Linked DNA regions of Bombyx mori. The protein of the gene in region 1 binds, or shares a complex with, the protein of each later gene. Links are inferred from orthologs where the notes say so. Each region holds a gene or a part of one and is shown in the gene's direction. Other genes may lie near its edges. The genes, in order: mediator of RNA polymerase II transcription subunit 18, mediator of RNA polymerase II transcription subunit 31 and cyclin-C.

Region 1 (10,820 bases):
GGATGAACTGAAGAATAGGGTTCGTTCCAGAACTTCTGCTCCTTCATGCCTGAATGAGCTGAAATCGGCGTTGATTGAGAAGTGGGAAGGTATCCCACAAGAATCAATTCAAAAGCTGATCAGGTCTATGAAGAATCGTCTTCGAGGAGTTATTAGGGAAAGGGAAGGGAACACAAAGTACTGACATTTAATTTTAAGGCTAAATAAAATTTTTATTTATTAATTTTTGTTGTTTTATGCATTCATTATTTTTCCATATTTCCTTTGTTTCCTACCTTCTTCACTTAATCCGGAATAACTCCTTAACTACTGGCTCGATTTGAATGAATTTGGTATCAGTTTAAAGTTAAGAGTTCAACCTTTAAAATGATTTCATTTTTATGATTATCAAAAAGATATTTAGTACACAAGATCGCGCGGAATCAATTCCAAGTAAGTGATTCCAAACTTTTGCTCGCGAGTGTATATGAGGCTTCGTGCAATTTTAGTCATGAGGGAAAACTACAGTTAGCCTTCTACATTACTTTAATTAGTATTCAAGTTAATCCAAGCTTGGATTGAGACGTTCGAGCAGACTGCTTTCACAACTCATAATAAGTAAATATAGCGGACATTTTCCAAAAACACTTAGATTATTCGGAAGGTTGAATTTTCCATGAAGATCAGTTTTCGTATGAAGCATCAGTTAGTCGTAAGCTTAAGAAGTAAATTATTACAATTTATCCGCAACATAGAATAGCGACCGTTTATAAACAAAGGACGCTAATATGATGTCTTGATGATAAACAAATGTACATGTAGGTACAACTATACTGTTTACAGCTAGGTTTTGCATGATGGCTTTAGCTGTGCATGCATAACCGACAGGCAAGCCTTAGCGTGTATGTGATTAAACTGTGCAGTTATCGGTGCATGTACATACTACCGAGCAAATATCAAAATTGATATTTTATGCCGCTTGGTTGTTTGCGCGCGAACATAACTCCATTATAGAGGTCATACACGCTAGGTGTTGCATGATGGTTTTAGGCGTGCATGCATAACAGACAGGTATAATCGAGTTTAGTTAAAACCATTTGTACATAAAGCTGGTATATATGCTGGCATATTCCTACATAAACTAGACCTTATAAACTTCGATGCGATTGATTTGATGTCTATATGAACTGTATTAATTTAACTTTTTTTTTATTGCTTAGATGGGTAGACGAGCTCTTAGCCCACCTGGTGTTAAGTGGTTACTGGACCCCATAGACATCTACAACTTAAACGCCGCCACCTACCTTAACATATAAGTTCTAAGGTCTCAGTATGGTTACGACTGCCCCACCCTTCAAACCGGAGCGCATTACTGCTTCACGGCAGAAACAGGCAGGGTGGTGGTACCTACCCATGCGGACTCACAAGAGGTCTTACCACCAGTAATTACGCAAATTATAATTTTGCGGGTTTCATTTTTATTACATGATATTATTCCTTCACCGTGGAAGTCAATCGTGAATATTTGTTAAGTACGTATTTCATTACAAAAATTGGTACCCGCCTGCGGGATTCCAACATCGTTGCATCGCTAGATACGAATGCACCGAACGTCTTATCCTTTAGGCCACGACGATTTCGAAACTCAACCATCCATACAAAACGTAAGCGCAATTGTACACAGATTTACATAGAACGATCAGTTCGCCCTATCCATAGTGAATTGCAATTTACAGAAAACTTTGTGGTATTGAAAAAGCTGTATTTCCTTTATTATTAATATTTTCTAGCTATAATTAAAACACAATAAAGTCACTCTTCTGCAATAATATTTATTCTATGCTGAGTTAAAAATGCTACGTCAAGCATAGCTTCAGGATCCAAGAGTTCCTTTACATTGTCGTATTTGAGACTTTCTTCGAATGCAAACATTATGCTAGTATCATCTAACATCATCTTAGATGCCACAAGTGCCAAAATACAATTTTTCACTCGCGCCATCGTTTCTCTTTCTGATTTCCCAACAGGCTGCAATAAAAATGATATCAGCATCATATTAGCATATGCAACAATTTCATGAGGGCATGAGAACATGCATGAGTTCTATTTTCTTAAAACATGGAAAAACACAAAGTTTAGTGAAAATGATATAATAAATCTTTAACTTGTGTTTATCGTTTATCTTTCTTAACTCCTATTCCCGAACACTGCACACTGATAGCATTAACCCACCTGAATTTCATAATTTTCAATTGCATCCTTATTTCCTTCCATAAGAATATCACTTTTGTGTGGACTAATCCATATATATCCATTATTCCCTATTATGACAGATACTGCACATGGTAAGTTGTGAAAATGATTTTTTCTGCGCTTTATCAATGACGGGAATACTTTTATTAAAGTTCCCTGTGAAAGCTGCAAAAAATAAAGTTTTCGAACAAACTCTTAAATTAATTTTTTTTTAGTATTAGCAAGGAGTAGAAAGTTCAACATTTTGTGATATTAATTATTATTAGAGGACTGTATGAATGATTCTATTTTAAGGTATGAAGGGCTATTTGGTTTAGAGGAAAGTCATGTAATTTAAAAATTGAAAAAAAAACATGACAAAACTTCTCCAGCTATTTCAATGGAGAATACTTAATTGGTGTTCAATTAAAAACAATTAATTGTATAAACTAATACCAAATAAAATTTACCTTTAATTACACAGATAGATGCCATGTAGTAAGCGAAGTGTCACTTAAAACAAATAGCCTTACGCCCCTTGATTTTATTTATTTAAACATATAGGTAGTGAATTAAAGCAGATTTAAGTGTTTGTGTAGACTTGTAATCAATTTGCTAATGAAGCATGTTTAATCTACTCAGAAGGATAAATATCATCTTCACTTTGGAGGATTTCAAAATTTAATGTTGCTACATATTTGAATATTTTTAATTTCCTTATAACATTCTTGTTGAACTTTAGAATAGTCATTTTTTATTGGCTTCATAAAATCTGATTACCTTGCCATATTTCAAACTTCTTGTATGCAATGAGAGCGAACCATCAGAAAATACATTCTGTACTTCAGCGCTTATCAAATCACCTTCCTGTAAATGTTTTCTCATCATCTGCTCATCCTCTTCTGAACGCCTTCTCTGGATTTAAAAAAATATATAAATAGTTATCATTAGATACAAGAAGATTGCTTTATATTATGGAAGTGTGCGTTAATTTACCAATTCTCCGCCAGGTAGATTTACTGAAGAAAGTTGAAGTATTGAATCAAGTCGTGAATTGGTATCAACTTTCCATCTTTTCTGTTGAACTTCCAATACTCTTCCGACTACCACATCGCCTATTTCTCCAACGTAACGACTCTTCAATGGGCGAATGCATATAAGTTTATTTACTTTTTGCATAACCCCAGCAACAGATGCTTTTAGGCAATCATCTTCTGCGTAAGTTCCGTGGCCTCTTAAAGTGCAAAATTATTAAATTTATAGTAATAATAATTCTTAACAATATTGTTTTCGCAAAAAATACCGACCTCATAAAATCTTGTATCCCAGTTATGACTTCGCCAGGAGTGTAAAAACGCGGCGGGTCATTATTTGAGGCAACCGAATGATTTACTCTTTCAGATGCGAGTTTTATAGATACATGACTGACCATTTCTAATGTTTTTTTAAGCTCCCTCTTTGCTAATTGTGAATTGTGTACAACGAACTCATAGACCTATAGTCGGATTTTTTATTAGACGAAGTCAACTGACGTTTACTGTGTTGTCAGGTTTTGATGAAATAAAAATAGTGTTGTGACAAAGTGAACGATTGAAAAAACTCCTGAATTAATGAAATTGCCTCGATTGTCTAGTGAATAGTTAGTGTGCCGAATTGCCGATATCGGGTACGGGGTTCGAATTTTAGGCGTGCTTTGTACAACCAATGAGTTTTCGACGAAATATTATGTTCCTATAGTATCTACCTGCACTGAATACCGAGTGTTTTAAACATTAAGAAAAACATTGCGAGGAAGCTTGTAAGACTGTCCTATTTCCAATACATCATATAGTTGAAATTATAGATGTATAAAATATAACAATTATAGGTATGTAATGAAAATAAAAAAAAGTAATTGTAGTTACATACTACTAGTAACATATATTGGAGCACTTTAATACAATTTTATTGTAAAATATAAATAATATTCTTTTATAGTTTGAAATTAATGATTAACTCTTCACACTCATTGTTCATTCATGTGATTGAACGAGAACTGAACAGATGATAAGGGATGAAATACAATCTCACTAAAATGACGGTTATTTACTGAGATTTTGGCCTTTTTGGACGATCCCGAGAAGTTACGTCCAGCGGCTTGGTTTCATTTTCCCACATTGGTGCACTTTCATAGATATTGAACAGTTAATAAACAACCGTTATTACAGGTTTAAACCTGAAGACACACTAAATAGACAAAATAAAACAAATCACACAATTTCACTCCTCGCATGTAGAATCATTGGTGACAAAAAATGTTTAAAAACAAATACGGCCGTACCAATATGATAATATGATGCGATACCATTGCCTCTCTCTCCTGTATTTGAAAAAGGAAATTACAAAATGTCACCTAAATGAGGCTAAATGTCAACATTGTTAGTAACTGTCAAGCTAACAGCGATTGCAAACATATCTCTACCTTGTTAAATTCCAATATGAGTATTTAGATTATGTTAATTAGAAATTAGAATTTATTTTCTCCTTTAAAATTGCCTAGTTTTTTATTTTACGCAATATTTATAGTTTCGGTTATATGGACTATTTAGACTGAATGCACCTCTATGAGACAGAAAAGTCGTTTATAAGTGTAATGATTTCTTGGCTCACACATAGTTCTTCAAAACTTAAATCTTTAAATAGCTGCTATTGAAGTAGGTTTTCAGATTTTCAGCTCCATAAAATGTCGGCAAACGCTGCACCTATAACAGCTACAGATAGCTTATCGCAAGCTTTAAAAGCGAACATTATACCAAATCAGGAATACTTACTTCAGGTACTACAGGATGTTGAAGTGGCTCAGCTATTTTAAATTTCAGAATAATTACAATATAGTCTACATTCTTCTACAGTTTCCATAAATTGCATACTTAACAGAACTAATTACCATAGTTGCAGCTATTGTATCCAATTCTTTTGACCCATTTGATCTGTTTACATACTACATTCAAAATATTATCAGAACCCATACATACATAGCTTACATATAATAGCAGCCCAAAAAAACATGAGATAAGGTCTTAGTTACAATGCCTACAATGCTGTTCTTAATAAATAAAAATAATTCATTTAATGATTTTCAATTTTACAGTATTTCATAGCTGGAAATTATGATAATTAGGCAACAGGCAGCAACTTTTCTCAAGATTCAGTCAAGTTTGTTAATTGTTGAATATTATACATTTAATTTTTGATTCCACTAAAATTTGATTAAGGGCTCAGTGTTGGACTCGGCAGTAGAAGTTTTACTTCACCGATTACGTGGTCTTTGTGACAATGTTGATGCTGGGCCAGAAACATTTGATGACCAGGAAGTGTGTTTCAGTCTACGGGATCCTAATCATCATCAGGTAATAATAATACTTAGAACTTTTTAAAATATTTCTGTTAATGTTATTATTATTTTAGGACACTAGAATATAAAATGGTTATAAAATTATAATACAATAAAACTTGTATTAAATTATAAATTGATTAAATTTTGCCTGGGCTGTCACCTGTTTGGTCAAGAAAAGTGCTAATGATTTGGTAATCACTATTAATACTGTACAATTCGTGAGCATAAAGACATGCCTGAATCTATATATTTTTCTTTCATGTTCTAATAGTTCATCTTTAATAAATTTAAATTTCAGGCTCCCCCTCTCATGTTGCGTGTTCGTAAAGCATTAGATGCTCGAGACATGCCATTTCAGTTACGATACATTGGGCAGCCTGATTTGGGGGACAAAAATAGGCCAACAGTTGTCCGTTCCAGTCTTGATATAGCCTGCAGTGGAATGCTCATTGAATTTTTAAATGAGCTAGGATGCCGAATTGAATTTGAATACAGTGTAAAAGGTAATAATATTTATTATAATGACAATTATGAGTAATATGATTGTACATGTATTTGATAGTATATTCTAAATCATCACTATTACTATACCACTATTGTTAATAATGACGAATCAAAGAAGACCAATAGTCAAAAATACTAATTCAATTTAAAGTATTACCTAGATTTGGGATTTAATTAAATTGCATATAATTTTCAGTGGTTCATTTAAAATCAATCAATTACGGTAATTTTATAAAAAACATTAAGCTTTTTCTAATTCTAAATTTCAGGTTACATGTTTAGAAAAGGTCGTATGAAAATTACTGTAGCAAAAGTGTTTAAGATTTCTCAAAATTCAATGCCACCTGAACCTATCTCACAGAGCTATCTTGTGGAGCTTTCTGTAAGTTTTTGACACCCAATTAAATAATTTGTCAAATTTCCCAAACAATACCGCTTTCTGGTTTTGCTTGAGTATGATGATTATATATGATCTTTAAGTACCGTAGATTGGGGAAAATGGGGACCCTTTCCAATTCCAAAACAAATTTTCAATGCTTTTATTCTTAGGGTAATACCAATAAAATTGAGATTAAAATGGCTCCGAAGGTTTAAATTTTTAAATACGATTCATTATTTTATATAGTTCATATAGTCACAAAATATACACAAAACCTTAAAAAACTTGCTTGACCCGATTCTCTTTGAATGAGGCTATTTCTCTCATTGACTTGTCCTTCTTCAAACGAGGCTTGTGGAGAGTATACAACGGTAGGCAGCGGCTTGGCTCTGCCCCTGGCATTGCTGAAGTCCATGGGCGACGATAACCACTCAGCATCAGGTGGGCCGTATGCTCGTCTGCCTACAAGGGCAATAAAAAAAATACGCTATGTATGGGGACAACAGAGTTTTTCGATAAGGCTGGCACTATTTAGTTCTTAGGTAGGTACCTAACTTTAGGTAATTAATTTTTTATATCTTTAATGAGATACAAAGTTTTGATATCTGAATTAAACTATATAATATTCTTAAACACTAAATAATAGTCATCTTCAGTGCAACAAAGTTATATCTAACAACCCAACAAGAGTATTGTGACATCCCAGATTTGTCCCTATTCTAACTCTAGTCTCTATTCTCCCCAATCTACTGTAAATAAACTAAAAATAAGGAAGAGATTTTTAATTTGCTGGCTTGGTTTTGATGTAAACAGCTTGGTTTTTTCAAGCTATAAAAACATAAGTAACCTAACCTACAGGTTTCCATGAATAAGTAAGGCTCAATAATAAGCTTCAATTGTTTTTTTTTCTTCTTATTTGTACGTATTAAGTAGATTTTATATAATTAATGTATGTAGTTGATGTTTGTAGAGCAATGTGGATTTATTTTATTTCATGTATGTTATGTGATGTGTAGTGTATTTCAGTTGTTGAAGACTTTTACCCTTCTTTAATATCTTTGGTTCCCTTAGGTTTGTTAGAACAAAAGACTAATTAATACATTAAACTCACCATTGGACATTCTTTTACAAGTCTTATTTTAGTATCATTTTCTGTGTACCTATAATATATAAGAATAAGATGATAGACTAACTTTTATTTGCTGATAGTGAGTCCTGAGTCCTATAAGGATTGTGCGCCCAAAATGTTATATAAACTCTGCTACTTAAACAATTTTGGGGATGCTTAAACGACAAAGGGAAGATCTTCCACCGAGCGGATGATATTGCTCGGTAGACCGACGGTCCGAATGTTGTTATTCGGAACTTGTACATATGCGCTTTATCTTGAAAATGTCGTAAGCGAGATTCAGGCATCTGTCAATTATCTTGCGTTGTATGATGGCTACCCGCCACATCACTCCCCTCCGAGACTGGAGGTCGTGTCATTTTTAGATATCGTTGTCCGTGCTGAGATTAGCTTGCAAGTGCCAGTGCTGCTCGAAGTTTGCGGTGAGTCGAAACTGAGCTTGAATGCTGCGTGATTGTCGCCAGTGCTGCTCGAAGTCTGCGGTGAGTCGAGACTGAGCTTGAATGCTGCGCGATGAGGCAGTGTAGGTGCGTGCCGTAGGGCCAAGAAGCGCGGTTAGTCGGCTGCGATGGTCCTGTTGAGGCTGCGATGCTGGCTTGCTGTGGGACGACTGTCGATGACTTGCTTTTATCTGCGAGAATGCGGGGATTGTGGTAGCCGAAGTTCTTGATGCGCCGATGATGAATCAGAAGGTTGCGTGTTCACATCACGTCGGAGGTCACCAGTTTGGGAAGCTTATAACGACGGAGGGAAGATCTTCCACCGAGCGGGTGATATTTGCTCGGTAGACCGACGGTCCGAATGTTGTTATTCGGAACTTGTACATATGCGCTTTATCTTGAAAATGTCGTAAGCGAGATTCAGGCATCTGTCAATTATCTTGCGTTGTATGACCCGCCACACAATCACGAATTACATTACACCTACTATTATTCCCAAAGACAGTTGACATATAATGTTTTACTGTGCTGAGCCTATTTAGTAGTATAAAGGAAAAGGGTGTAGTGAACTGCTGATAGTTTCATTTTCTTATTCAGGTTCTTGCACCACAAGGCCAGGACGCTATCGGCGAGGATATGCGAGCCTTCGCCGACCAACTCAGGCCTCTAGTGCAGCTCGACAAAATCGACTACAAGAGACTCGGGCACATGTCGGTTTCATAGCCCATGTTCCTAACTCAGAACTTACTTTAACAATTTGAGCAACAGTCTGGTGAAATGAAGAAAAATAGACAAATTTTCTACGACAATATTCGATTGATAAATGTATATAAATACAATACTCATTTCAAACAAATTTAAGATTATTCCAAGAGAAAACTACGGCATCCATTTTCAATTAATATACGCTACATTTTACAAAACTTTGTATTCGTAATCTCGTAACTAAAATATAATATGCACCGATTACTTTCAATTTCTATTTCTAAGAATAGCATTTACTCCTCAATAGTCTAAAATGTTTAATTTCTATTTTTATATCTGTCAATAAATACTAATAGGTCAACATGCAAGAATGAATTAAAACATGATCAAAACAGGATAATTCTTGTTTAATTATTAAACGAAATCGGGATTCTTGACCGTGTCTTTCACAATGATATGGTCTTCGCCGTAGTCTAAATCTTCATATTTGTAGCCGTGAACGTACGCAAAGTTGCCGAAATAAAGACATTTATCATAATGTAAAGTAACAAATTCTGGAAAGCAAAAAAAAGTAATTGCATAAGGCCATTTCACTGCTATACGTAACGTCAACCTTTTCAACCAATGTTTCCTGTATACCGTATTCACAAGTTAATTTACCAGTAAGTAAATAATAAATTAGGTACCAAAGCTTAGTATCGTAGACAGTTGGGTAACTTGAACCTACAGGCGATCTACAACATAACTATAGAACATTAATCGATCTCAATAATTTCGAAACTATGCCTGATGCTAGAAAAAACATTTCCACAGTGCAGTATACTTGACAGTTATGTTTCTGCAGTAAAATTTGAATATTCGTAAAATTTTACAGGGAAAAATTTTCAAGGAGCAAAATATGTTCAAGTGTTTCTATACCTGTTCCTTGTAAACAATTGTACAAATCCATAACGCAGTGATTGTCGAATATAAATGTATTATTGGTGCTTGCGTCAAATGCACATATTTTTTGGAAGTACGTAGGGCAAATACCACATCTGAAACAAGGACACAACGAAAGCGATTTAAGTGTAAAGTTTATCGATAATTCAAACAGTTTTCCTTTGTTATGATCACTTAATAGGAAGACATGAGACATGCAATGGTCGTTGACCTTTTTTCTCTTTAATTAAAAAATATATATACAAGAATAGGCTAGCTGATGACAGAAAATCAAGTTTAAAACTTAAAAAATAATATTTAAGTTCCTATTTTAATCAAATATGTCTGTAACCTTTGTTTGTCCTCAAATGTCTTAATGAATGGCCTTATTGAATCAAATACTTTATTCTATATTTTTATTTACTCTATGTAGGAGTCCAATGTCATTTTTTATGGAGAGTAGAGGTAAGGAGAACCGTCTCATATGGGAGAAGCTTGCAAAAGTGTCCCACTTTCAGCACTCAATAACAGTTCAAATATCCTCCAGAATGGCGCTAGCATAGGCACAGGGTATGATATGAACTGAGCAGTTGTTAACTGATTGAACTATGTTGAGTTAGGAAATTTAATATATTTAATGACTAGAGTAGTTAGTGACACTAATATACAAGACCTCACATGTCTACGTAGTCCAAACTAATTTCGTCAGTATAACCTAAAATTATTGCTGTGGTAAAACGTGGAGACATCGTTTGCATTTTCTTATCAGCTTTAAATAAAATACTTTTTGTTATTTTGTAGTGCTTACATTGCTTTCGTCCTTTTTATTTCTCTATCTTATTCTAATAACTCTCAGCACATTTTTTTTAAATTTACCCGGTTGCTACTGTAGCGCCACCCTTATTTAGCAGATTTTAACGGAAACTTTTTACACACAGAGACGGTTCTCCTTACTTCTACCCTTCATACATTCTTGTTACGAATTCATTGATAACTCAAACCCATACTATGTACTGGAAACAATTTTCTAATTTCAGCTCAAAGCATGAAGGTAGTCATGACTCAAACACTTGAGACTTATAGTTTGGTTTCTCAATGCTCAATGGTATAATGTTTTTACGTGTTTTTTGTATTTAGTTCGTAGAAATAATAGAA
Region 2 (10,644 bases), on another chromosome or scaffold:
TAAACCCAGAACTCCTCCTCAACACAGTAAAGGTTTTGATCATGTAGCACATGAGTCTCTTGTAAGGGACTACAATATGCCAGAGCCTTCTAATGGATGTGCATTACCATCCTCGTCTAATGCAAATTCACAACAGACAATAGCAGAGTTAATTACTATATTGATCAAATTACTTTCTGAACCCAATTTATCTATACCGTCCCACGCTGCTAATTTAATTCGTACTTATACTAATATTAATAATGGCCAACATGGACAAGTTAGTTCAATGGAATTGCCGCAGTATTATAAACAAAAAGCATGAAATTATACATATTATAAATACTTTTAATCCTTTTATATTTTCTCTATCTGAAACCTGGCTAAAGCCAGATTTTGTATTCAAAATCCCTGGTTATTCGTGCTTAAGAGAAGACAGGGCTGATGGATATGGTGGTGTATGCCTACTCATCAGAAACTCTAGCACCTTTTCTTCCTTCCCTCTCCCTTCACATAGTAACTGCTTTTCTGTCATTGCAGCTATTGTTGATGGTATCTGTTTTGTCTCTATCTATGTCCCTCATCCCTCCTTGCAAATCTTCAATGAAATTAAAAACTTCATTTCAGTTCTTCCTCGGCCTTTCATGATTCTGGGTGATTTCAACTCTCATCACACATCTTGGGGTAGTTCAGTATCTAATAGTTATGGTTATGAATTATTAGATATCTTAGACATGTATAGCCTGTGCATTTTAAACTCGGGTTCTCCTACTCGCCTCACAAAGCCTGGTGAAGTAATTAGTGCCATTGATCTGTCCATTTGTACTCCCCAGTTAGCATCTTCTCTATCTTGGTCTACTTTGTGTTCCACTTATAATAGTGATCACTATCCCATAATCATTTCATTTCCCTGTAAAAAAAAGGATACAATGTGTATTCAAAACTCTCGCCTCAAACACAAAATCATAGACTCTAAATGGAGTCAATACACGTTATTAATAGAAGAGAAAATTAATAATTGCTCAGAAGTTAATGTCATAGATAATAATTATTTCAAAGCTATTTTGTTAGAATCGGCTGATAATGTTTTTCCAAAGAAAAAGCCGTGTAGTAATAAGTTGTCATCTCCACCGTGGTGGGATGAAGAATGTACCAATGCTATAAAGAAACGCAAGGCAGCAGAGCGTAATTATCACAATAATATGTCTATGAAAAACTACGAGGCATTAATGACTATAATGAAAGAGGTTAGAAAACTATTTAAAAAAAAGAAATTTGACGGGTGGAGGAAATTTTGTAGCACTATATCACCTGAAACACATGCTACTGTCATATGGCGAAATATCAAAAGATTTAGATCAGCTGTCAATCCTTCTAACGCATTGTTGCTGCCTATAGAATTAGCAGATCAATTCCTTGATCGTTTGGCTCCTCCTTCTGCTCCACTCAACGATCCTATCCTGTCTTATAAGCAATATAACTCTGATGCCCCTTCTTCTCTAAATCTAACTTTTACGTTAGGGGAGTTAAAAGGTGTATTAAATCACGTCAAAGACAGTGCTCCAGGGGAAGATGGGATTCCATATTCCTTTTTGTCTCACCTTGGCGAAAAAGGATTAAATTACTTTTTAAATTTAATAAATAAAATTTTACTGACAGGTGACATTCCACCGTCATGGCGAAGTCAAATAGTATTGCCATTTTTAAAGCCGTCTAAGGTACAATCTGATATCAAATCATATCGTCCGATAGTTTTGTCATCGGTGATCACAAAAGTTGTTGAACATTTAATTAAAAATCGGCTTGAATGGTATATAGAAAATAACGAATATCTGTCCCAAACTCAGTTTGGATTTCGAAAAGGTAAAAGTGTGGGGGACAATTTAGGCATATTAGTTACGGATATTCGTAATGCTTTCTCAGATAAAAAGTCAGTAGTTGCTGCTTTTTTGGATATTAATTCGGCTTATGATAACGTTCTATTACATATTCTAAAAAGTAAATTAGATAAATTAAAGGTTCCCTATTTTTTAACTAATTCCATTGTAAATCTTCTTTCGGAGAGGAAAATTATTTTAGATGTTGGCGGCCCTTATAAGCCTAGTAGGCTGGTATGGAGAGGTTTGCCACAGGGGTCTGTTCTGAGTCCTTTATTGTACAATATTTATACATATGATCTAGAAGGTTCAGTCGGAGATTCAGCAAGTTTATTACAGTATGCCGATGACTTGGTTATTTATGCCTCTGATATGTCTGTAAGTACTGCTGAACGATATGTTTCCTCCTCTTTATCTTTGCTAAAAATCTGGATGGATGCAAATGGCCTTGATCTGTCTCCCTCAAAAAGTACTGTTGTACTTTTCACCAAATCCCGTACTCCTTGCTCACTTAATATAACATATGATGGGGATATATTACCCATTAGGAATCAAGTTAAGTTCTTAGGAGCTATTCTTGATTCTAAACTAACGGGTCAACCACACTGCGAATTTGTGGTTAGTAAATGTGAGCGAAACTTGAACATGCTGAGATGTCTCGGTGGGGTTTGGTGGGGTGCTCACCCGGCTACACTGAGGTTGGTGTATAATGCTGTCATTAGAAGTGTACTGGATTTTGGGACCTTTTTCTTAGACCCAGGTAATGTGGCTGGCTTTAGAAAACTAGATCTCATACAGTCTAGGGCTTTGAGGATTGTTTCTGGTGCCATGAAATCGAGTCCGGTTAATGCTCTGCAAATAGAATGTTGTGACCCTCCTTTAAACTTAAGACGTCAATATCTGTCCGATAGATTCATTTTTAGAATTGTTCAGTTCCATAATCATCCCCTCATTTCGAAACTAGAGTTTCTTTCTAAAAAAGTACCCTCTTCACATAAACCTTTACCTTGTCTGTTAAAAAGTTTCCTGAAATTCAAACAATTACAAGCCCCAACTCATTCTTTTCAGGTGCTTCCTTTATTTGGCGCTTCTTATGATTCTCTCTTACTTTCTCCAGTGATTTGCTTTTCTCTTGGCATTGAAAAATCTGATTTTAATGCCAATGAAAATTTTAATTGCAATGTCAATAGTAAATGGCCTAACTGGCATCAAATTTATACAGATGCATCTAAACACTCCAGTGGGTGTGTTGGTGTTGGAGTGTATCACAAACAGTACAACATAGTTCAGAAAATTAAATTACCTCCGGAATCATCGGTCTTTACCGGTGAATGTTTTGGACTATTAAAAGCTCTTGAATATGTGCTGTCTTTCAAACTAAAAAAAACCGTTATATTTACTGATTCCTTAAGTGCATTACAGAGCTTAGCAAAATTTTCACTAAAACTTAACCCTTTTTTTCATGTAATATTTGAATGTAAGAGAAAGCTGTTGCACTGCCAATCACACAACTATTTAGTATCATTTTGTTGGGTACCTAGTCACTGTGGCATATCTGGAAATGTGAAAGCTGACAGTTTGGCCAACAGTGCTACTGTGACCGGTGACGTATACCCGTACAAGAATTTTGGCCATGATCTTGCTGCTTTGCCCGGCATATGCCTCCACAAATCGTGGAATATGTGTTGGGAAGAGAGCGGCCGGATTAAGGGTCGTTTCTTGTATGCTATACAGTCTTCCGTTCCCAGGAAGCCATGGTTTGCCAAATTGTCGTTTGGTAAAACCGCCACTTCTACTATAATTCGTATGCGTCTGGGACATAACAGCCTTCCAGTTCATTTGCACAAACTTGGTATCGTAACTAGTACCGCCTGTGAGTGTGGCGAGAGTTATTGTGACCTGAATCATATTTTCTTTTCTTGTTCTTTATATGATCATTCTTCCTTATATACTTCTTTAGTATCTCTCTCTGTTCCCCTTCCTACTAATATTTCTTTACTTCTTCGAGATTTTAATCCCCTTGTATATAGTATTTTAAGTAGGTTTATATTAAATAATAACATTAAACTATAATTTTGATTTATTTTCCCTGTTATATAATTATTCTGATTTTTTTTGTAAATTCAATTCGTTCTAAATCATTTATGTTTTGTTGCGATAAGTTTCCTTCGTTTTTTATTATTTATAAACTGTAAATAAATAAAACGGCGAATTATAAAAACGTTATTACTTGACGCTGGCTAATGCACAAAACGTGCCAGAGCCAAAAATAAAGAAGAAGAAGAAGAACTGCGTTTATACCATAGAGTTACTACTTATTAACTCCATGGTTTATACATATATTAAGTGTATAATCTATGGTTTATACTGTCTAATTATTTCATAAGTGGATCAAAAAAATATTGAAAACTTCAACAATAATTCAACAAAAAAATGTCGGTGAAGAGTGAAGACGGTCAATTAGTCGTTAAAGTACAATTAGCGTGGTTTTCAGTTCAGTTATTTTTAATGATACTATTCATTACCATGCAATAGGAGATAGTTAAGATACTTGTATTTTATAATAAAATTAATAATTCCTAAATTCATACTTAGTTCAAAAAATGTAAATATAATGCACACAAAATCTGTTTTTGTTGAAATGATAATTATTTATAAGTTCAAGAAATATATTGCAGGGACATTTAGTAGAAATTCATTTAATATAGAAGAATAAACTTAGTATATATACTTATACTCTATAAACAGGATTTTTTAAGAATAATTATATCTATTTGATATATATAATAATATTATAATAATGATATTAAGTATAAATGAAGCTGATTAATACGAAACATGGCATGAAATGAAATGAGATGAGATGATATGGAATGAAATATAATTTCAGTAAAATGGTGGTTATTTATTGAGACTTTTTCTGTGGACTTGTTGGAGGATCCCGAGAAGTTATGTTCAGCGGCTATATTTTATTTTCCCACATTTGTGCACTTTTACAGATATTAAACAGTTAATAAACCAGCTCTATTAAACATTTAAACCAGATTTTTTTTAAGGGATGTTATGACCTGTTAACTAAGACCTTTAAGTTATATTTTATTTTAATTTATATTCTTATTTTTATGAAAAATTATAATATGGAGTGAAATGAAATGAAGATGATTAATTTGAGAAATTAATCAACTGGGATGAAATTAAATGGAATGAGATAATATGGGATGAAATATAATCTCAGTAAAATGGTGATCATTTACTGTGGTTTGTTCAGTGGACTTTTTGGAGGAACCCATTTAAACTTGAAGAAACATTAAATAGACAAAATAAAACAAATCACACAACTTCACTCATCGCGTTCCCGCCAAAAAGTTTAGGTATAGTACCTTTAGGCCAAATATTAAGCCTAAGTAGGATGATGATCATAGTCATAGACTAACTTAATGTGTAGTGTAGTATTGCTCGTATATATTAAGTGTATAATCTATGTATATTAAGTGTATAATCTATGTAGTATTGTGTAGTTGTGTTACGTTGTGTAGGACTCGGAAAAAAATATATACACAAATTTATTTATGTGATTTAATTAATTTAAAAATTTTAAGAGCTTACTAAGTACTGTGTAACATTTTAGTAATGATAAAATCTTAAATATCACATATTTATATAAGGATAAAATGAACTGTCTTGTGTAACCTGAAAATATGTTATTATTTTGGTCATAGATTTGTTGAGACGTACACCACTGACCAACTTGTTTAATTTTGAATAATTTAAATACTCCAGCTGCATATATTTCGGGTTCAAAATGATGGCTGGAAAAGGTAAGAAAGAATGAAATAATTTTATTTAACAGTTTGTTATTTCATGATAAATTAATAATCTTTAATTTAATTGCAGTAATGCCAGAAACTGAAGAGCAGAATCGAATAAGATTTCAAGTGGAACTTGAATTTGTGCAGTGCTTAGCAAATCCAAATTACATTCACTGTAAGTTGCCTTTTTGGTTTTTGTTGTTAGACTTCACACTCACCTGGTATACAATGATTACTAGAGTACATAGACATCATAATGTAAATGTTGCCACTTGAACTTATGCAGGCTAATGCTGCTCACTGCATACATACACTTATGGAAACTTATAATGATAACTTAATGTGATGACTGATCTGAAGCTATCAAGTTGGTCATCAAATCATCACAAGAGGGAAATAAGTAATAAATTGTTAGGTATTTTTCATACCGGTTTAATGATTTTGTTATTGTGACTTAGTTTCTAATCGTCTATTTTGTGATTAAATGTTTTTCTGCCCAGTGTTTTTAAATGTTATGTGTAATGGATGTCAATTATGTCAACTCTGTCTATTTACAGTTTTGGCACAGCGAGGTTATCTTAAAGAACAAACTTTTGTAAACTATCTTAAATATTTGCAATATTGGAGAGAGCCAGAATATGCTAGATATTTGAAGTATCCCATGTGTTTGCATTTTTTGGAGTTATTACAACATGAAGCATTTAGAAGAGAATGTGTATCGGCACAAGTGAGTACAAATTGCACCTACTAAATTATTTTCCATATAATCTTTGCTTGAGCGGTAGATAATGCCATAGGTTTTAAGTCCGCTGATAAACATTCTTCTTCTTCTTCTCTGTCGTTTCCTCATTGCTGAGGGTCGTGACCACCTTGGTCCAGTTTTTGAAGTAGTGTTTATATGAAGGTTTGTTGTGGCCTGAAGGCTTATCGCTCAGGCTGACCTGACGCATTCATATCAAGCGATACAAAGGTGTTCAGATCCTGCAGGCAGGTTCCAATTATTATAATGAGATACATACTAAACAAATGTTCACTATTGACTTCCACAGTTAAGGAATAACACCATCTAGTAAAAGAATCAAACTTGCGAAATTATAATTTGTGTAGTTACTGGTTGTAGGATGTCTTGTGAGTCCGCAGGGGTAGGTACCTCTACCCTGCCTATTTCTACAGTGAAGTAGTAATGTGTTTCGGTTTGATGGGTGGGGCAGCCATTGTATTTTTTTTTGTTTAGGCATTTACTTTGTACATGTCTATGGGCTCAGGTAACAACTTAACACTACTTGGCCTTTTTTTTTTCTGATATAGTTTTATGATTTATAGGTTTCACAGTATGATGTTTATGGGCTTAAAACCAAAACAGAGCTTGACTTACAAATCAACAGTAAAAAAAATATGCAAATGAAATTGAGCTAGTTTGAATGTAAGAATATAAATTTGGTAATTGTTAATGACCACGTACAAGTTACTGCAAAAGTCATATTATTATAATTTATTGGCTTTTATTTACCACCTCATTAGTAGCTGTGCTTTATTCTTGTACTCTACCAAATATAAAATTTATGACTGTGCCAAACTGGCCCTTGACCAAATACCGCTTTTAATTTTATCCGATAGCAGTATAATTTGTATGTATTACAATTTTTAAATAAAGCCTGTGTTTAGATCACTCTGATGGATAGGTACTGTTCAAAATATCTTCATTAATGAATGATTAATATTTTCCTTAAGGTTTGCAAATTCATGGACGATCAAGCAATATTGCTATGGCAACATTATACTCGTCGGCGTACACGCACGTTACAACCGCCGGACGCACCGGCGCTTCCTGCGCCGCCCGCACCGCCACAACAAGGTCCACCAAGACAACAAACTTAGGATGTTCATGATTGTTGTTTTAGAAGTGAGTGGAAAATAAAATAAACTTTTTATAAATCTATACTTAATAAATAAATCTACAGTGGTTTTTATGGATGTTCCGTTATAACTACTGAACCATGCATCCGATTGACTTGAACTTGTTATCCATGTAGAAAATACATGTACATAATGGATAGGCTAATTATATGAGTGTTGGACTCCCTACACCAGTTGCGGGGGCGTTAATGATGTGAATCTTTGTGGGGGTGAGAAATAATAATGTTAATTTTAAATGCCCAGTGAAGCGGACGGGTACAGATAGTAGTGTATAATAATGTTAAAAAAATATTGGGCATGTCCTCTAGTAGGATGTCCCACCGGGGGACAAAGATCTCCCTCTAAATTATCTAAATGGGTGTTAATGAAACCTCTTTGTTATGTTATAAAAATAATTTGGCTGATATTAAAATATTTGTTCTGTGTAGTAGTAAAATATACGTAGTCTTACTCATAAAAAATATATTTAATTACTTGAAATGGGCACTGAACGTTTTTCAAAACGAATTTTATTTGATTGAACATAAACAAATCCTTTGTATAATAACCGGCAAACTTCTTGAGCATTTGTTGACGTAGTGGGGGTAAGTTTGCGCATGGTACACTCACGTGCAAAAACATTACTTACTCTGCGTCATAATGCTATTAAATTATTAAAATGAACATATGTATTTATTTATATATTTATTAGAACATTAACAAAACATATAGGTTAATAATTGTAATAATTTAATCTTGGGGTAAAATAGATATTCCTTCTATTAAGTCAAAACTAGAGCTGTTGCCAGGTCTTGGTTCAGTTGAAGCGAAGCTGGTATTTGTAATTTTTTTTCCGTTATCATAATCTTGACCATCATCATCATCACTGTTTTCATCACCCGAGTCGCTATCATCGTGATGAGTCGACATAGGGCTCATCGGCGTAGTTTACAACTCGGTCGATTCGGTCTTCTTTTTTGTCTATAATTAATTATTTTTTGAAGATATTCGATTCGTAGTAATCGAATGTTACTTTTTTCATTTACCAGCTTCCGATTATTTTCTGTTCTTTTTTTCCATCTGAAGCCTAGCTCTTTCATAATTCGTCGTAAGCTTCATTCCGAGCCATTAAAATTTAAATCTTCTTTAAATGTTTCGAAGCCTTTCGACGGTACGGAGTTTCGCTGCTTGTTATGTAGTTATTATGATTACATCTTTTTATTACACATTGAACGAAACTATCCATTCCGGTAACTTTCTTCTTCCCTGATCTTTTCTTACCCGGAGTCCGCAACACGGCGAGCAAGCCAGAGCCTTTAGCTTCGTTAATAATGCACCTAACAGTACTCACTGATGTTTTTGTTGCTTCCGAAGTCTGTTTTAATTTTTCCATATCATTCTTCCCCTGTTTTATAATGAAGCAATATACGTCGTACACAAATTTTCTACCCTTTCTTTTATAAGAAAGGGTAGAAAATTTGTACTTAAGTACTACACCAGTTTGTCACGGCATAGTGTATGTTTTATAAAAAATCAACAAACACTCAACAAATAGCAATGGCAACAAAGTCCACAAGCAATTATAACAAATAACTTAACGATTAATAACGATAGACTTTCCACTGTACGCAAGCGTACTTTTGGGAGCAAGCGGAATGAGGGCGCGGTGCGGGACGCAAGGTTCGACTGATCTACCAATAACGCGCTCGATACGATTTCCCCTGCCGTCGCGCCTCACCCTCACCACCAAAGTGATCTAAAATTCGGTTCTGCGCAGTCAAGGTCATTTGCTCAAGAAGTTTGCCGATTACTATACAGATAGATATGCAGTTAAATGTGTGCCTAGCTAGACTGAATTATGTAGTTTAAGTTTTGAGGTTAAGAAAAGACGAAATAAATTTATGTATTTTTCAGATCGGTTTTTTAATTATATTAATTCGAAATATATTATTATTTTTTATTGCATGTAATGTTATAAGGTAAACGGCCTTTTTTCTTCTTTGTCGTTATCACTCTTGACAGAGTGGTCGTGGTCATCACTTCAGGTGTCGGTGGCAAGCTTCGCAACACGCCGCTAATCTTCTGACGGCCAGACGGCTATTTTTGCCTCAAGAAGTGATAGATTATCATTTATCCACATACAGATTGTAGATAGAAGAGTCGACTATATGGCAAGGAATTATAATTATATACATAAACAATAGGGCTTTATCATTTGTATCTTTTGCATCAACAAGGATATTTTGAAAATACGAGTAATTATAAAATTTTGTCTGTCGAGTTTTTTTTAGCATAGACATAGGAATGAATAAAATCATTAGTTTATCGACACAATGCACATCCATATATTTCTAAAATAATTTTCGTGACACATAAAAATTAAACATAAGAAATAATTTTAATTAGTGAAAGGATGCTTTGGACGTCGTCTTGCCATGCACAGCGCTCGGAGAGTGAGGTAGTATATGAGTTCTACGGCACTCATAATACTGAAGCCCATACACAATCCTAGAAGGCCACCCGTGTTCGCTGAAAGCATTATTTGAAGCAAATACGTTGTATCAACTTAACTTAAAGCTATTGTTGAGTTGAGTTCTATTTTATTGAATACTTTAAATCAACATATTTATAATTTATACAGTTCAGATTTAAGTTTATGATATTGAGGGGTGTAAGGCTACTTTTTGCATTTTTGCAGATCTGTGAAAATCTGTTTTGAATTTTTGGTACAAATATATCACAAAAATCTTTTGCATCTATTTGAATGGGGTAAACAAAATTCAAATTCAATTAAAAACATCGAATTGTTGATACTAATATTTTTATATTTTTTATTGCCCTTGTAGGCAGACGACCATACGGCCCACCTGATGGTGAGTGGTTAGCGTCGCCCATGGACTTCAGTAATGCCAGGGGCAGAGCCAAGCCGCTGTCTGCCGCTTAATACTCTTCACAAGCTTCGTTTGTAGAAGGACATGTCATAACAAATAAAACGCACCTTTAGTCTAAACCAGTGATTCTCAACCTTTTTTTTTGTTGCGGCACATATTTAACGATTTCAAAATTTGGCGGCACACAAAAAA
Region 3 (10,832 bases), about 5.6 Mb from region 1:
ACATAAATTTTTATTTCTTTTATTTAAAATTTAAATAATATTAATAATAATTTTATTTGTCAATTTTTAATAACAATTTAGGATTTAAATATATTTATTTTAATTTTGAAATAGAATTATTATTATCATTATTCAAACGATCAACAAAAATAAATATTATTTAAATAATAATAACATTTTAATGTATTTCTTTTATTATTAAAAAGTTTAAAAATAAACAACAGTTTTATAATTAATCAATATTAAATATTTTATTAATTGAGCATAGTAGTAACATTAGTCTAGATTAAAAGTACTGATAAATAATTGATATAAAATTTTATATATCAATTAATATACCATAGACACAGCCATGTTATTACATGCCTTGAATTTTTTGAAGAAAAAATTACCTATGGTTAACCCATACAAAATATTCGAAGTACTCAGTCGAATCAAATTTGACATTAAAGTACATTGTGCACCAAGGGAGAAAAGTAGGACATTTCCTCCCGCGTATAAAATTGCAACTTAAGGGTGATCATTGGTTTAATTAATTATAAATAAATAAAAGACGAACACACAATTTTTACATTCGAATATTAACGAACAAACGACGAACAAATAATTAAAAATAAAAAAAATCCGAAAATCAAAAAAAAGGGGGCCAAATTCAGTGAGCCTCTTGTCACTTCTGTATGAAAACCGGGAAATAAAATCGTAAAAAAAGCATGAACAGTGTCAAAATTGTCAAAACATGTACAGTGTTTTTAATAATTACTTGAATTTATCAGTTATGCACATAGATTATACACTTAATATATTAGAGATAGATGCGCAACTCTCATTTTTATTTTTGCTTTAGTTAAAGCCCGGTCCAGCAGGCGTCGCTACGGTCGATTATTAGTCTCCCTACCCCCCACCAGGTGGCTTTTTTAGTAATTTTAATATTTTTACCAACTCTCTTTATGAAAAAATCTTATCGTTTAGAATCGCTAGAATTCCCGGTAGTACTTATGAGATATTAAGGAATGTTCGATTGTGTTCAGCATTCTAATCGATAAGATCTTTTCATACAGAGAGAAAACAGTTTTTTAAAATAAAAAGCTGTAATTCTCTGTAAGCTATTTAATTTCCCTATATTACAAACAATTTTCGGTTAAAAGATTGTATGAACGTACAAAACTTCGAATAACAATAACTCCTCTAGATTAATCCTACTAGCGTACTTATTAACATTAAATCGAAAGTTATCTAAAAGTTAATTAAGTCTAGATAATCAAATCATTCAATGTCAATTAAGTCATTTGTGCGAAATATAAACATGTCAGCTTTCCATTATAAACATAGTAGACAATTTGAATTAAATTTAATAAATTTGTTTCTTAATGATAGCAGTTCTTGCTTAAAGTTGATCGTGACAGATCATGACCTTGTATGAAAATATTACATCTATAAATACTACCTATGCTTCGTCATACAATAATTGTCATTTAAACTAGCATTGTAGAGATAATACACACACTAAAGTGAATACTAAATTATTCTTAGCATTCTTATAAACATTTAGAAATTTAAGAAACGATTAACCCACAATCATGTTCATAACATGTGACATTTTGTTCTGCACAAACGTTTTGTTACATGATTTGAAAAACAAAAAAAAAACAAAAAATGTTTAAAAAATGTAATGATGATTTAAAGTACTCTTAAATATTGATAGTTTGTACTTAATGACACTTATAGTAATCTTAGACATGATTACAATAGTTATACTTTTATTCTTTATCTAAATTATTTCTATTCTGACGTTTCTGATGCTTTAGCTTTGGTAATACTAGATGAAACAAACAGCAGATTGAAAGAAAATCATCTTAAAGTTAATTACATTCATTACAAACCATTAGTTTGCATTTTGTTACAAAAGAAACTGATGTTCGTTACATGCAAATGAATTATAAACATACACATGCAAACATAAAATGTAAATTTATCTTTTAATCCAAATTAAATGTACATTAATATTACATCTAAATAATAGAAAGGGTCTCGAAAATTTTTATTGCACTCAACAGCAGACGAGCACACAACCCGGCTCATGATAAGTGGTCACCAGTGCTTATAAACTTCAGCAGTGCCATAGGGGTTGCTGTCTATCACTTAAGTTTTAATAAATTATTAATATACTCAGTCACAAGCATATTGATTTCACATAATGAAAATGTAAGAAACATAATCATGTTTGGGCATTTTCATTTATATCTGCTCATACAGAAAACACAACTTAGCAAATATATTCCACAGTTAATCTAAATAATTGCAAATAATGCTTTTGAAGATCGTTGACTTTTGATCATTAATTAAAATCATCTTCTCGTAGAATTTACAAAAGCTCATTTACAAAAATTTATATCAGTATTTTCATATATTACTAACTTACTAATTACAACTATTCAAAACGTAATAGTATAACTATAAGAACTAAACAACCTATTTTAAAACAAAATTGGCATCAATTTAGTTCTTATGAACTATTTCAATTATTAATTTATAAATTATAAACATATTTAAAAAAAATTAAGATCCCTTGTGAGTTCACATTCCTTGCTGAATCAGTTTCTCTTCTGAAACGGAGAAACAAAGTATCTTAAGTATGTAACAAATATTGAAAAAATACGACCATGAAAAATTTAGTGTTAATGTAATCATACTTACAAATTAATATATTACATAACACGTTCTGGTTCAAATATAGTGCATCAATCTTTTCATGTTTCAGACATTTTAGTGCTCCTTATAATTTTTCCATAAAATTTTGTCATTATCAAACCTTTGTCTACAAAAATAAAAACATTATTTTATATTGGGTAGAAGGATGAACGTGGTCACAGGCCACTTGGTGTAACTTGGTTATCAAACACCAGGAAACAAAATGTGAATGCCATCATTTAACTTTGGATGTGAGATCAATTGTGCTGTATTTTATTTAAACAGGAAAGCATGACTATCAATCAGTCATGCTTTCCTGTTTATTCCATTCCAAAAAACTAGTTCGGGCCCACTTGACAATAAGCATATAATACGCTGAGTTGCAAAACATAAATACTTCCACCCACTCGAGACAATTTTATTATCTGAGGTGTGTGTGTGATAGTACGAGACTTAACACCGACTGTTTTGATCAAACTTAACATATATGATAGCTAGGCAGCAGAAATAGGAAGGACCATTAGTTGGTGCTAATTCATTTAATTATATTATGAATAATAATTCTGTTAGCAAATAATATACCGGGAAAATAGTGTAAACTCACCGTTATCAAGGCATCCGAAATAGCATTTCATTTTCGATCTTCGAGGCATGCTGATTTTTAATAATAAACTTTCTGTAAGAAACGAAAATAGTTACACAGGCTTACGAAACGCTAACGAAGAAAAAAGTATTGGAACCAAGTTATGTCTAAAGAGAATTCAAAACAGAGTTTCTCAATGTCTAATCGTCTAATATTCTCATAAAGCTAAAAGATGCTCTAAATTAATACTACAACGTAAAATAACTCACACCAAGACAAAAAAAAAACGATTTAAAAAATTAAATCGTTACGACATTTTGAAAACGTTTTTTTTTTTTTTTGAGATTGTTTTACGGCCCTGGAATTTTGAAAACTTCAAAGCAGTGTTTCCACTTACGTTTTTTTAAACACATTTTACCCTAGTTTCTTTTGAATTTATCCCTAAAATTTCCTAGACAACTTTCATAAATCCTTTATATAGAAAGTATAAATAAAATACAGAAAATAAACCACAGCATATTATTTAATGTAGGTATATATAATATAAACGCCCCCAGAAGATCATAGATATATAGGATTAGAATTTTCAAGGAAGTCGACGCATTGCTTTTATATTCTTTTGCTGCACGCAACCTAACACTGTTCGGTTCTAAAATTGAGCAATTGTTTGCTGGCAAAGTTGGGAACTTTCTATGAAGCAAGCCGTTCAGGGTTTCATTAGAAAGCCTGTTTCTTTTGTCAGTTTTTACATTTGAGAACACTGAATTATCTTTCCACCTCAGTCTTTGAAGAAGGAACTGCTAGCAAAAGTGAAATGACAATTACAAGGTTTTCGTAAATGAAATTACCATGATAATCTTTCATGGTACATGAAGTACCTGTATATTACAATACAAGTAAGTTCTGGTGACATCAACGAAAATAGGTAAATAAAAGTTTGGCGGATTATACTTATTGGGATTCTGGGGAATCCCTAAGAAAAAAGCAGTGGCTTAATCTATAATTTACTTTACTAGAGGGTTACTGTTGAATCAAACCTTCTTTATAGTTTTTATACACAACTCTGTTTTATTCTTTTACTTGTCAACTCGACTTAATGTCATTCTCTCTCCATAAAATAAAATGTTCATTGTTTTACTTTAATTATCGTTTATTTTAAAATTCACAACAGTTACTAGTATAGGCTTTGCTTTTTACCCCGAACTATCCTAAATCCTGGTATTTTTTAAATTGTCTTTATCATCCAAAATATCAGCTATTTTTCCCTAAAAAAGGGAGAATTCCCTAAAAGTGGAAGCACTGCTTCAAAGTACGCTAACCTTTTTTATTGAGTCAGAACTCGTACCTGCCATCTAGTGAGTTTATTAGATCATTAAGGCCAAAACGTTTCAAAAATGACCTCGCCGGTTCCTAAAGATGACGCTAGTTGAATGTTCTTTTCCTTTGTATGGGAGTTGCACCCCCCTGGTTATGCATACATATTACTAAAATACACAGTTTCAAAAGTTTCATAGAATAGGAATGGATGGAAAAATGTTAAATTTGTAAAAAAAGTATGTTTTTTTGATAAATCAAAATTTACCAAATTTTAATAATTATTGTGTTTTGCCTTTGAAGAAATGGCTGGAAATTTTTGGCAAAGCTCACATCATCAACAATGGATACTCGATAAGCAAGAGCTAAGGCGCGATCGCCAGTTTGATTTGAATATTTTATCAGAAGAAGAATACCAAAAAGTATTTAATTTTTTTGCTAGTATAATTCAAGTTTTAGGCGAACAACTTAAACTTCGTCAGCAAGTAATCGCAACTGCAACAGTTTACTTTAAAAGATTTTATGCAAGGAACTCTTTGAAGTGTATTGATCCACTTCTTTTGGCACCAACATGCGTATTTCTTGCATCTAAAGTTGAAGAATTTGGTGTTATATCCAATTCCAGATTAATAACAACCTGCCAGACAGTTATAAAAAATAAGTTTAGTTATGCTTATGGACAACAAGAGTTCCCGTACAGGACAAATCACATTCTGGAGTGTGAATTTTATTTACTAGAAAATTTAGATTGTTGTTTAATTGTATACCAACCATATAGACCATTACTACTTTTTGTCCAAGACATAGGACAAGATGATCAACTTCTGACATACGCTTGGAGAATAGTAAACGATTCCTTGAGAACAGATGTTAGTTTGTTGTACCCACCCTATCAGGTATGATTTATGTAATGCAAATAGTCACATTTCATTTTTTATTCATAAAACTTTTCATTGCCATTATATTTTGAATTACAGATTGCAATTGGTGCCTTACAAATAGCATGTGTGATGCTTGGTAAAGACAATCTCAAACCTTGGTTTGCTGAGCTAAATGTTGACATGGATAAAGTGAGAAATATACTTGAATATATATTAAAATTAAAAAAAATATGGTTATTGTGTGGTTGTATTACAAAACTTCTGAAACTACTCATTTAAAAATTCAAATTTACAGATCCAAGAAATTGTGAGAGCTATCATTAACCTTTATGAGATGTGGAAAAGTTATGATGAAAAAAAAGAAATACAAGGGCTATTGTCCAAGATGCCCAAACCAAAGCCAGCTCCCCAGAGATAGCAAGACATATTTTGTAGTATGGATTTGTATAATGGATATATAATTTTTAATTGTAGACATGAAAAATTTGTTTTTAATTCCCTAGGAAAAGAAATTACTATTTTTGATGAGGTCACTTATATTTCAAGTGATTTTTATGAATTTTTTCAACCATAAACAAATACAGTGTAGAGCACACTTTAGAGCATAAATTAAAAGAACAAGAACTAAGTTATTTAATTTTCCATCACAAGCCAAAGATACTCTCTTTATTGGTTGTTATGTGATTTAAGACTATTGTATCCTATTGTAGCCTTTAGACACAAAAGTAAATTATTCCTTTATTTCAAGTTTAATGTTTAAATAATGTCATTGTATTGCTATGCTGCCCAATAACATTGTTCATATAAGTAAACTGACAAAGATAAGTAAGATGACAAAAGCTAAAGAAAAAAGGCAATTCTAATGAATTTAGTCTTATCTGTCTGCATGTTTTTGAGCATTGATACTTCATTCATTAACTGTGTTGCATTTGTTCACATTTTACAACATTTGTCAACATTAACAATTTTGAACATTGAAAATGAGGTGGATCCTTTAAATAGATATATATGTATAAATTACTATTGGTTACACATTTCAGGTTAAAACTTATTAGCAATTCAGGGAATAATTATGTCATGTATAGTCAAAGTATGATTGGTGAAATTGTACATTGAGCACTTTATGCAGTGGCTGAATTCAATAGACGCGGGCACATAAAATACGAACAAACAAATAAATATTAATATTTATATATAAACTAGGGGTCATGCTCCACTATTACCTGCAGATATATGACATTTGACATAACACTGGGGAGTAGTTAATGGTTTGAAAAACATTGATTTCTTGTTACTGATGGTACGTTGGTGGTACTATAATAATAGACACCTGTGGAATTCTAACAATAACCATAAAGTTCCATTAACAATTAATGAAATATTATGATAAAATAAAAAATATTTTTACCAATTTTAACTATTATTGTTTATTATACTAAAAATTGTGCTATTCTTGTAAGCATGATTAATTATGTAAAATAAATAATAGGAATGCATCTTTAAAAATTAAGACTGTTGGTACTGTCTTTTTAGGAGATATTAATGTAATAAATTCTTATTTTTCAATACTGTAATTGTTGTTATTTACCTCAGAATAAATCTTTAACTCACTTTTTATTATAAATAATATTCGTCTGATTAATTCTGGAATGAAGAATTACGTTATATAGTTTCATTTTTCTCTTTCTGCATCCTTTTGGGTGTCAGACATATAAATTAAACAGGCTAACTTTGTTCACACTTTGCTTTAATCTGCCAATTTTACATTGATGCGTTTGGTTCTTGATTTATTCATAATTACTTTGGACTTCTTATACAAATTTTTACACACAACGCTACCGCGATGTAATTTTGTTAGCCTGTGACATCTATTGACGACATTTGTCAACTGTTGAATTTATAACTTAACAATATTTTAATGGTTTGCAATATAAACCTCATATTTAATAATAATTCTTAATATGTACAGGACTCTATATAATCATATAAATAATCAGAAACCTTACACTCTATATAATCATATTAATATAAATAATCATAAACCTTACAGCTCGGCCATCCTACCTAAAGCGAGACCCTTCGCTTTGAGATCAAGAAAAAAAAACAAAATATATATGTTACAAAAAAAATAATAATAATAAATGCAATTAATTATACACTAGGTTTATATATGACGTGTAACATTTTTTTTAAACATTTTTTTTGCTATAAATACTAAGTACATACACATATCTATCGCTAAATCGTTTCCATGGTTTTAAGTTCTATCAAAATAATAATTAAAATAACAATTTCTTTCTTAAGTAACTAAATGTCAAACATAAACTGAGTAATCAAGTATGTAATCACTGTCATCAACACTATAACTAGATTCATCAGATTCTAATTCTCTACAGAACGACATCCAAGGCTGAATCTTATCAATAGATACAACTGCTTCATACCTTCTACCTTTTTTGCGAGTCATTGGTATATCTTCTACCACGAACCTATCATTGGGAAGAACCTTTAGTATACGATAAGGGCCTTGGTACTTAACAGAGAGCTTTTGAGATTTTCCATCGTGCGGAGCCTGCCTTGCTAAGCGTACTAAATCCCCTTCTTGGTACTGCCTCGCTGGTTTCCTATGCTTATTAAAATTGACTGCATCTTTAACTTGTTGCTGTTTTTTTTTTTTTTTACTAGCCTGTTGTCTGACTTCCGCCAATTCCTCAATGGGAGTCCTATTTAGGGTGTCATTGATTACCGTACTAAGTATGCTTTCCGTTCTATTAATTATGTTAAATCCAAATAGTAGCTCAGAGGGGCTCTTTTGGGTAGTTTTATGTCGAGCTGTGTTCATACCAACCTGTATATCAGTGATGTGGTTGTCCCACGACTTGTCGTCGCCGCCGTGATTGGCTGTCGATAGAGCATCTAAAATCGTTCTATTAAACCTTTCTACTTGCCCGTTTGCTCGAGGCGTTGCAACGGCATTTACAATATGTTTGATCCCGTAAGAGGTCGTAAAATCTTGAAACGCCTTACTGGTGAAACTCGTACCTTTATCTTTTCGATTGGGTGGAGTTCTCCTTCTCGTTTATCACCTGGAGCTTTGTGGTACGCGCACTCAAGGCAGGAGGTAACATACTTCCGGACGAGACGCCGCATTTTCGCGAACCAATAATGGCCTCGGATGCGCTGTAGGGTTCTTTCAAAACCACAATGGCCAACGTCATCGTGGTTCATTTTTAAAATTTGCCAGCGTACACTTTTGGGTACCAGCCATTTTATTTCGTCACCTACCACGCGGTAAACATGGACATTCTTCAGTCTGTAGTTTTTGTGTATGTCCGCTACCTCCGCCGATGAAGGGTCAGAAAGAATCCTTTTGATTTTATTTATCTCGTCATCTGCAGTTTGTACCGTCGTAATCCAGTCCTGTTCGATTTGCTGTATTTGTAAAACATCTAGTACATGTGTTACCTGAAGAAGAATTGACTGGGTTTCTGCTTAGGGCATTCGCGTGTGCCATGCTAACACCAGGCCGGTACTCGATTGTACAGTCGTACTTCTGAAGTTGGACCCACCACCTAGCTATGCGAGGTATCAAGTCACGCTTAGTTAGAGTGGACCTGAGTGCATTGCAATCGGTCAAGATTTTAAATGGTATTCCCACTAAATAAACCCTAAACTGATTGAGAGATGCAATGACCGCCAAAGTTTCGAGCTCGTACGAATGAAACTTGCGTTCGTCAGCGGTAGTTTTCCTGCTGAAGTAGGAAACTGGTTGCAATGCACCATTACAGTTACGCTGCAGTAAAATACCCGCTAGGCCTTCTTTGCAAGCGTCCGTATGTAGCTCGGTTTCGGACTTAGGATCGTATAGAGCTAGCACCGGTCACTCCACCAGAGCGCTTTTAGTGCCTGTGAACGCCTGATCCTGTTCGGCCAACCCCAGTTAGCGTCTTTCTTCAGTAAATCCGTTAACGGTGCAGTTATCGTAACATATCCCTGTATAAACCGTCTGAAGAACCCAGACATACCCAGAAATTGACGCAATTCGTGCTGATTGGTAGGTGTTGGGAATTTTGAGACGGCTTCAGTTTTTTCTTTACTACCTGGGCGGATACCATTAGCACTCACTTCAAACCCTAGAAAGTCTATGACATTCAAAAAGAAATAGCACTTACTTAATTTCAGTGTGAGAACTTCGCCTAGTCTTTGGATGCCTTCCCTAAAATCCTTGGATGGTATCAGTATGTCATCCATGTAGAGAACAGCATATTTAATTTGGGCCTCCTTTAATATTTTATGGATTGTCCTTTGGAACACAGATGGTGCATTAACTAGTCCGAAAGGCATGCGGTTGTATTCATACTGCCCATCAAGTGTTACAAAGGCAGTTTTACTACGGGAGGCCTCGGCGACTGGTGTTTGATAGTACCCGGAAGCAAGGTCCAATGACGTAAATAGGGTGTTACCGGATAATAGGTCCAACTGATCCTCGACTCTTGGTAGGGGGTAGTGTTCCTTTTTGGGCTTTCTGTTTAGAGCTCGATAGTCCACATACAATCGTTTCTCACTATTCTTTTTTTTGTACCAGGACTATAGGACTGGCATATGATGAAGATGACTCCCTAGCTCTACCATTATCTACCATCTCCTTAACCATGTCTCTTACTAATTGTCGCTCAGTATGTGACATACGGCATGGGCGATACACGACTGGTTCCGTGTCGTTAAGGTCGATAACCATCTCAGTGATGTTGGTAAACCCAAGGTCCTTGAGCCCACTTGAGAAGCAATCGCTATGCTGAAATAATAACTTTTGTAGTTCTTCGGGCTGCTGTTTTGTTAGCTCAGGATTGCAACTGATCTCTTCATCCAGTCCCCTATCGGTAAGAACGCTACAAGATTGGAAAAAAGGTGTTGGATGCGTATTACGCAGTGCTCGTGTTAAGAGAGTGTCCTTCTTTATACAAACCTTGTTTGACGAGGCATTATAAATTAAAAGCGCTGTGCGGCTGTCTTTTATCTCGTACGTACCGGGAAAAAGATAGTACTCTTTTCCTTCAGCACCCCTTAACGAGCCATGGACGTAGATGCTACCGTTTCCCTGCCCATCAGCATTAACAATTATGGGACGTACAACGTTACCATCTATTTCCGTGTCATCTTCCACTATGAGTCTTATTTTAGTACACGCGAGTCTTTCAAATACGATCTTAGTCGGCGTTTTAGTCATTATAATATCAGGCTTCTCTGTAAAGGAATGTCCAAGTAATGCAGAGTAACTTAGTACATAATCTTCTACTACATATATTTCAATAGTTTTTTTTAACCCTTGAACTTCTACACTCACGGTAGCTACACCTAAAGGGCAA

What was found.
Region 2: mediator of RNA polymerase II transcription subunit 18 (region 1) and mediator of RNA polymerase II transcription subunit 31 share a complex: the UniProt entries of both Caenorhabditis elegans proteins name them as parts of the mediator complex. The link is inferred for Bombyx mori from reciprocal best matches to the Caenorhabditis elegans genes mdt-18 and mdt-31.
Region 3: mediator of RNA polymerase II transcription subunit 18 (region 1) and cyclin-C share a complex: the UniProt entries of both Caenorhabditis elegans proteins name them as parts of the mediator complex. The link is inferred for Bombyx mori from reciprocal best matches to the Caenorhabditis elegans genes mdt-18 and cic-1.

The regions. Positions count from the first base shown.
Region 1 is NC_085121.1:5,593,317-5,604,136, reverse strand, and holds mediator of RNA polymerase II transcription subunit 18, read left to right. Parts: upstream 1-4,614; 5' UTR 4,615-4,933; coding exon 4,934-5,026; intron 5,027-5,465; coding exon 5,466-5,600; intron 5,601-5,885; coding exon 5,886-6,090; intron 6,091-6,360; coding exon 6,361-6,473; intron 6,474-8,636; coding exon 8,637-8,762; 3' UTR 8,763-9,144; downstream 9,145-10,820. Other genes in the region: exosome complex component RRP4, read right to left, coding at 1,792-2,007, 2,212-2,397, 2,992-3,126, 3,208-3,445, 3,519-3,643; uncharacterized protein LOC101737360, read right to left, coding at 9,159-9,298, 9,663-9,781. UniProt on the Caenorhabditis elegans protein: Component of the Mediator complex, a coactivator involved in the regulated transcription of nearly all RNA polymerase II-dependent genes.
Region 2 is NC_085122.1:5,743,996-5,754,639, reverse strand, and holds the start of mediator of RNA polymerase II transcription subunit 31, read left to right. Parts: upstream 1-5,347; 5' UTR 5,348-5,658; coding exon 5,659-5,674; intron 5,675-5,750; coding exon 5,751-5,840; intron 5,841-6,222; coding exon 6,223-6,392; intron 6,393-7,396; coding exon 7,397-7,543; 3' UTR 7,544-7,568; exon of another isoform or gene 7,569-9,474; intron 9,475-9,475; exon of another isoform or gene 9,476-9,508; intron 9,509-9,583; exon of another isoform or gene 9,584-9,831; intron 9,832-9,882; exon of another isoform or gene 9,883-9,959; coding exon of another isoform or gene 9,960-10,090; intron 10,091-10,644. Other genes in the region: pickpocket protein 28, read right to left, coding at 9,960-10,090. UniProt on the Caenorhabditis elegans protein: Component of the Mediator complex, a coactivator involved in the regulated transcription of nearly all RNA polymerase II-dependent genes.
Region 3 is NC_085121.1:11,203,112-11,213,943, forward strand, and holds cyclin-C, read left to right. Parts: upstream 1-3,602; 5' UTR 3,603-4,890; coding exon 4,891-5,481; intron 5,482-5,562; coding exon 5,563-5,655; intron 5,656-5,761; coding exon 5,762-5,884; 3' UTR 5,885-7,034; downstream 7,035-10,832. UniProt on the Caenorhabditis elegans protein: Component of the Mediator complex, a coactivator involved in regulated gene transcription of nearly all RNA polymerase II-dependent genes.